Kluyveromyces lactis: one gene and its partners. The protein of the gene in region 1 binds, or shares a complex with, the protein of each later gene. Links are inferred from orthologs where the notes say so. Each region holds a gene or a part of one and is shown on either strand. Other genes may lie near its edges.

Evidence for each region.
Region 2: MRPL16 (region 1) and MRPL20 share a complex: the UniProt entries of both Saccharomyces cerevisiae proteins name them as parts of the mitochondrial large ribosomal subunit. The link is inferred for Kluyveromyces lactis from reciprocal best matches to the Saccharomyces cerevisiae genes MRPL16 and MRPL20.
Region 3: MRPL16 (region 1) and MRPL15 share a complex: the UniProt entries of both Saccharomyces cerevisiae proteins name them as parts of the mitochondrial large ribosomal subunit. The link is inferred for Kluyveromyces lactis from reciprocal best matches to the Saccharomyces cerevisiae genes MRPL16 and MRPL15.

Annotation. Positions count from the first base shown.
Region 1 is NC_006038.1:1,064,688-1,067,169, reverse strand, and holds MRPL16 (mitochondrial 54S ribosomal protein uL16m), read right to left. Parts: upstream 1,180-2,482; coding exon 514-1,179; downstream 1-513. Other genes in the region: RFC5 (replication factor C subunit 5), read left to right, coding at 1-362; MSF1 (phenylalanine--tRNA ligase), read left to right, coding at 1,549-2,482. UniProt on the Saccharomyces cerevisiae protein: Component of the mitochondrial ribosome (mitoribosome), a dedicated translation machinery responsible for the synthesis of mitochondrial genome-encoded proteins, including at least some of the essential transmembrane subunits of the mitochondrial respiratory chain.
Region 2 is NC_006037.1:691,747-693,831, forward strand, and holds MRPL20 (mitochondrial 54S ribosomal protein mL58), read left to right. Parts: upstream 1-859; coding exon 860-1,453; downstream 1,454-2,085. Other genes in the region: DEAH-box RNA helicase PRP16, read right to left, coding at 1-304; KLLA0_A07777g (uncharacterized protein), read right to left, coding at 1,677-2,085. UniProt on the Saccharomyces cerevisiae protein: Component of the mitochondrial ribosome (mitoribosome), a dedicated translation machinery responsible for the synthesis of mitochondrial genome-encoded proteins, including at least some of the essential transmembrane subunits of the mitochondrial respiratory chain.
Region 3 is NC_006039.1:1,527,952-1,530,364, forward strand, and holds MRPL15 (mitochondrial 54S ribosomal protein mL57), read right to left. Parts: upstream 1,345-2,413; coding exon 619-1,344; downstream 1-618. Other genes in the region: KLLA0_C17380g (uncharacterized protein), read left to right, coding at 1-124; RNA-dependent ATPase ROK1, read left to right, coding at 1,990-2,413. UniProt on the Saccharomyces cerevisiae protein: Component of the mitochondrial ribosome (mitoribosome), a dedicated translation machinery responsible for the synthesis of mitochondrial genome-encoded proteins, including at least some of the essential transmembrane subunits of the mitochondrial respiratory chain.

The DNA of each region.
Region 1 (2,482 bases):
TAGAATCTACCTCACTACAAAATGAATTGCATTTAAGAAACGATACACCTTTGAACAGACCTGATTGGCAATTGGTGATCCATAAAATGGCTAGGAAAATATTAAAAGAAAGAACTGTTAATAACCTTGTAGAATGCCGTTCCATAAATTATGATCTATTAGCCCATTGTATTCCTGCCAAAACCATAGTCCATGAATTAACGACGCAATTGCTTTCAGATGCCCAGTCAGATCCGTTGAAGTTGGCAATTATCGATACTGCATGCACTTTTGATCACCGTCTCAACCTTGGAAACAAAGCAATCTACCATTTAGAAGGGTTCATTGCAAGGACAATGTGTGAAATAGATAAATATACGTAAGTATTAACTTTTGTAGTTTGACAAACAACCAAACTTTACTCATTTGGGACTTTAAATCTTGAATCTTTGATAGCCTATTTACAGATAGTGGGATTAGCTCTCACAAAAGTTATACGTAAAAGAGTCGTTTATATACACACATCGATCTATTTCAACGAGCCCTGAACATTCTATATTCCGGTTGCTGGGACTTCAACTTTGTAATATATTCCTTTGTAGGTTTCTTCTTTAGTTCTTCAAAGTAATTGATCTTTGGATCGTCCTTTGGATCTTTTACACTCTTGATACCTACTCTTACCAGAGAATCTTTCGATATGAATTCGTATAGGCCAGGAAGCTTGGTTGCTGCCTTTCTAAACGCCTCACGTGCTACTTTCTCGTGTAGATTGTCACCTGCCATCTCAAAGATCACTTTACCGGTGGGTACTCTGACCATCCAATGGTCAAATCCACCCTTACCTTTACCCATTCTGGTCTCATTACCCTTGATACAAACAGCAATGTTTGTACACAAACGACGCCATAATTGACCGTTATTCAAAGGTCTAACGTATCTCATAATAGCATTATCGGCTTCCTTCAACTGTAACGCAGTAAGTCTCACACCTTCAGACTTCAATCTTAAACCAAATTGACCAAATTGAAGCGAATTACCCTTAGTAGAGCCACCGGTACGCACTGGCACACGACCCTTTTGCTTCTTAGTCTGGTTCTTGAAACGTGGAGCATATTCATGTGTAAAACGCCTAGCGGTTACTTGCAGACTTTCTAATGGATTTAGTGAGCGAAATCCAGTCTTGAAAACGCTGGAAAACATGGTGATCTAATTTACGATAAAGGAGGCTCACTGATCTGAAATAAGATCCTTGCAATGAGGCGCGAGGGACTGTTTTATGCTGCTTTTCAAATCAATTTCTATGCTCTGGATCTTCTTTTACTTACTCTTAAAGCTTTTCATTATTGAAAAATTTTTGGTGAAGTTGAAGATATCTTGAAATCATGTGACCTTCTACATACATTCAAAAGAAGATACAAAAGTCTCGTTAAACAACACTTGATATACCTGTTCTGGTGATTTCAGGCAGTGAAATATCACTAGTAATATCATTGCTAAGGGATTACCTTTGTTTTGTTGATTGAATTGCCCCAGTTTTACTGTTATTAAGGGTTCTTTAATACCGAAACGATGTCGAATAGGACGATATTGTCAACTTTGAGACCATGTTTAAGGTTGTTTAGCACCTCCAATGTGGCATTACAGACACTTTCTGTGAATGGAAAGACGTACCCAGTATCAGATAAGACGAATGTAACTAGTTCGATTTTGAATTTGACTGATCGCGCTGTTTATTTGAAACCATCACACCCTGTTGGGATCTTAAGAAGTGTTATCGAGGACAAGCTGAACGACCCTCATCACTCATTCGAGATCTATAACGATTTCAAACCTGCGGTTACGGTACATGAGAATTTTGATTCTTTGGGATTCCCAGAAGATCACCCCGGTAGATCGAAATCTGATACCTATTACTTGAACGATTGTCATCTGTTAAGAACGCATACATCTGCCCATGAGTTGGAATGTTTCAAGAATATCAATGGGTTTGTTCCTGGCCATGTGGGTAAGACTGATAAGCCTGGATTTTTAATCTCTGCCGATGTCTATAGAAGAGATGAGATTGACAGGACTCATTATCCGGTGTTCCATCAAATGGAAGGTGGTAGAGTTTGGAAAAGGGAACCGGATAACCAACATTTATTAAAGATTAAAGAAGATCTCGAGAGATTGGAGAAAACTTTGGCAGACGACCCAGTGAAACTTGTCGTGGAAGATAACGTTTCCTTGGAAGGTAATCCAAAGCAGGAATACATGACGATGGAAGAAGTCGATTTATGTTCTCGCCATTTGAAAAGATCTTTGGAGCTTGTTGTATTGGAAGTCTTCAAGAGAAAGTTGGCAAGTATGGGTAACGTGAAGGGAGAAGAGTTGAAGGTTAGATGGATTCAAGCTTATTTCCCATGGACTGCACCATCATGGGAAATTGAAGTGTTCTGGCAAAACAATTGGCTTGAGCTCTGCGGTTGCGGTCTTATCCGTGAAGACGTTTTATTAAAAGCTG
Region 2 (2,085 bases), on another chromosome or scaffold:
GCTCATCTTCATCGTCGTCTTCCTTGTCATCCAACGGAAGTTTAACCACAAATTTTTTCCTTATGGTTCTTGCTGGAACAGCCGCTGATTCTGGCTTTGGAGACTGCTTATGTGCCTGTAATTTTTCAAAAAGTTGCTTCAAAAACTCATCTTTGCCCTTAAATTTCCCCAAAGCCTTAGCACCCCCGATGAACTTGTTTACATCCTTATGAATACGTGCAATCTGCCTTAAAGTCTCAACAAACTTCTCTGTCACTCTTGATTCCGTATTCTGTTGAATCCATTCTTGAAGTTCTGCATTCATCTAATTCTGTTGCTTGGTAAACCTACCACCTGGCGTAAAACCTGATGAGACAGAGCTGCTAATGAAGTATCACAAGGACTGTTTATGCCATTATTCTTGTCCCATCTCATAGCCTTTCAGCTCTTCCTGTTGTGAATAGGAACGACATTTGATGTTGATGTTGGGATTACCCGGCTTTCACGTGACAAAAGATACAGAATAGTCCAAATTGGCACTTCTAAAAGCTGCATAATATCGCCAATATAAGCCCTATTTTAACAGGTCAGCTCACACTCATTCATAGTACTAATCGATATTATATAGAAGCATCTTCAGGTAGGTATATCCACTAGAATAATCCTATATTTCTCGAAATAAACTGTTTTCCCATACTAATCCTGTCTGTCTCATCAGGATTTCTATCTGAAAAATTTGAAAGCATCAAACTGAAAGATTTAGAGTCTGCAGTGCGAAACATGGTGATTGATAGTTTAAATAACAAGTTTTAGACCCTTACACCAGGCTTATAATCCCCAATTACGCTGTAGAAATTACATTTGACATATTCGCTACAGTATGGTGAGACTATTTTCGACCAGCGCCCGTGCGGCCAAGGATCTTTCAAAGATAATTGATAAATCAGGTAAGTTACCTAAGATCGTTGGACCAGCTACCATTTACAATCCAAAATCATCTGCCTCCAATTACAAAGGTTATTTGAAAGCCAAGATTCCAGCAGGTCTATATTACGATCCAGCTCCATCCTCTATCCATGGTTCTACTAACTCAGAAACGATTCCAAAATCTTTCTTACCGGCCACTGATCCAAGGCACGACATTATAGATGACCTAACGCAAGGTAACGCAGAGATATCGAGGGTAGCGCCAGTGTTACATGAGAAGGGTGAGAAGACCTACCATTTGAAGCCTGAAGACATCGCTGAGATTAGAAGACTAAGACTGGAGGACCCGGTGAAAAACTCTAGAAAAGCTTTAGCAAAGAAGTTCAACTGTTCTCCGTTGTTCATCTCTATTGTTTCTGAACCACCCAAGGAAAGAAAGACAGAAATGAATCAAGTTCTTGAGACGATAAAGAGCCAATGGCATCCTAAGAGAGCATTGGCCAGAGCCGAAAGAAAAAAGAGAAAGGAACTCTGGTACAGAGCATGAGAAAAGGTAAAAGAAAACAACATACTGTATATCTGTAAATAGTAATAAGATAACCATCGACCTTATGTTTCAATCGTTAGTCATCAACTCTATTAAATGGCTTATAACATCTATATATATGCATGTAATATAATACAATGGAAGACGTGCAAAAATTAGTGTCTATCTCAATAAGTTACAGCTGGGGTCATTATCGTTAGGAAAAAATGATACATTAGTACCACTAATACCCATCGTACATCTCTTGGAAAATTTCGTACTCATCTCGGATTCTCAGGATTATATCTTCGAATAACTGCATCTGATACGCATCTTTTATTTGTAGTTCCAATGCAATCTGATGCCTATGCTGTCCCTCGCACAACATTGCTATCTGATACCATTTCTCCCTCCGCTGCAATACCGTATGCAGCTCCTTCAGATTCGATATCACCTGCGTCTCACAGAACAACCTCTCGTCGCTGTTTATATCCTCTTTATCAACTCCGTCCTCTTTATCCGAAACGAATCGAAACCTGTACAGCGACGGTTGCATCATCGTCGACTGATTGGACCCATCCAAATGCAAAAGCTCGTCTACTATAAGCTTCCCCTTCCATAGCAAATGCTGGGGTTCCCACGCTCTTGCAATG
Region 3 (2,413 bases), on another chromosome or scaffold:
CAAACAACGTTTAGCTGGTATTGCATTTGATGTAGCAAAGTGTACCAAAGAATTGGTAAAGACTGTGGAAGAAGCTAGTCTTAAGACCAACATTGAGTATTTAAATGCTAAGCTTTCCAAGTAAATTACCAGCAAAAAACATCCCTTCTATGAAGTTATATATGTATTTATATACATGTATTGTATTATGTACTTTTCTTAATCTGTTTTTATTTTGTATGTTAACATTTAATTAATGATAGATTTAGTTGTAAATTTATGTACGTCTATATTTCTAGAGATACATGAGATATATACAGTGCGCGCGTTTCTTTCGAGGTTCATTTTTAATTGAAGTGTGACGATGGAGTGTCGTTAAAAGGTTATGCTTTTCATGCTTTTGGTAAATTCATTATAATAAAACGTTGAAATTGAGCAGGGATGAAAGAGTAGATTAAAACACCACATTGACCAAGAGCTGTGATTGAAACTTCCGTTTCGAAATATATATATACAAGTTTTGAAAGCTCTTTCCCAACTCCGATGGAGACCATTCACTCGAGTGCTTTTTATTGATGTCGAAGTCTATTGTGTATTCCATTTCTCTTTCTTTCCTGTCGTGTAAAATTAGACATAATATTATAACTTCTCGGTCGTATCCCTGTTTGCTAACAAACTTTCAGATATCTTCGTTAGGGAATCACTATTGTCGCTGAATAGTTCATGCAACACGTATTCGGTGGCCTTGTCTTGACCGTGCAATAGATAGACACTGCCGACCACAGAATTTAGCACAGTTTGTAGCACGGTATACTCACCGTTATATTTGTGACTTTTTTGAGTGTCTCGTTTGTTCCAAAACACTAATTTATCTAGGTTTCTCCTTTGCAAAAATTCAGCCGTACTCTGTTTGGATATTAACATTTTAGAACTTCCCTTCCCAAGCATACCGAAATTTAGTCCGTTAATAACAGGTTCAGACTGTACGCTTTGTGATAGTTGCCTTTCAGAAACAGGTAGACCCAAGGAATGAAGACAAGCTTGATATTTCACAAAATGACCACCGATAATAGACAATTTCTGATTGTATGGTTTAATACCTTGGGCAAACGACTTGTGAGTCAAACATTGTGTAATGATGTCGTCTGGCAAGTCAATACCATATTTTTCCAAATTCAAACCTTGCTTAACAGTAGATACATGGCCATCCTTGACAAGAGAATCATAGTGCAAACCGTGTGGATTCTTCAAAGACTCAACTGGGTCTCTTTTCAAACCACGTACCCTAGTCCCAACGTGTAGATAAGAACCATTACGCACGCCGAATTTTGTGCTTAAGTTAAGACCAATTTTGGTTAAGGACATTATTCCAGAAGTAAAAAAATACTGTCTGAATGGTTTCTGTCTGGTATTTTCACAATTCAATCTTCCTCGACCGAATATCAACAGATTGTAATTACACAGGACACAAATATTAGAATTATTGAATCTTAATTCTAACAGTTTAGTCCTTTTAACTACGATTCAAACTGTTTCTTTGTAGTTTTTCGACTCGAGGCAGCGATCCAAATTTTGAAATTTTTCAAAATTTTTCAGATCACTCCAAACGAGGTCATCGCTGTGTCTAAGTGCTATCTTGTATGATGGGAATACATGCAATATCAAGGCATTAGGTACTGTTATCAAGGGAATATGGTCATTATGGGCTGGTATTATGAGGGCTTAATACCAGCTGTATCTTAAAGTAAGCTTTGCTGCATCTTTATGCCTTGAGAAGTACTTTTATATCGATTTTTACACTTATTGTACCCTAAGTTTTGTGAAAAGAAACGCTTCAGTAAGATCAATTTTAATTGAAAAAACTGCAATTAGATGTAGGCGATGAGATGAGATGAGATGAGATGAGAGAGTAGTAAGAGATTGATTATATCACTCACAGTGGTTTACTATCGAATTTATTCTCATTACTAAGTAACTTCTCACAGGCCAATACTAGCACCGCTAATTAACATGGATATCTTTAGAGTCTTGACTCGTGGAGCTAGCATAAGGAAGAATGGTGATTCTAATAGAACACAGTCTGCAGACTTTAGCATGGCTAATGAAAAGAAGAGTAAGACAGCTGGCAGCTCAAGTACACCAGCTAGAGATGAACAACAATTGACTAAGGAGTTGGATTTTTTCCGTAATAAGAAAATCATGAATAAGGTAAAGTCTGAGTCAACCAAAGGTGAAGGTGAAGACGAAGTACAAGAAGATAATCAAGAAGAAGACGAAGATCATGCTGATGACGAGACTGAGTTATCCGGGAAAATTATCACGAAACAAGATGCGTTAAAGTTACGTAAATCTTATCAAGGGAATGTTTCAGGGAATAGTGTTCCTTTGCCCATCGGTTCTTTTGAAGACTTGATCACAAGGTTCCAATTCGATA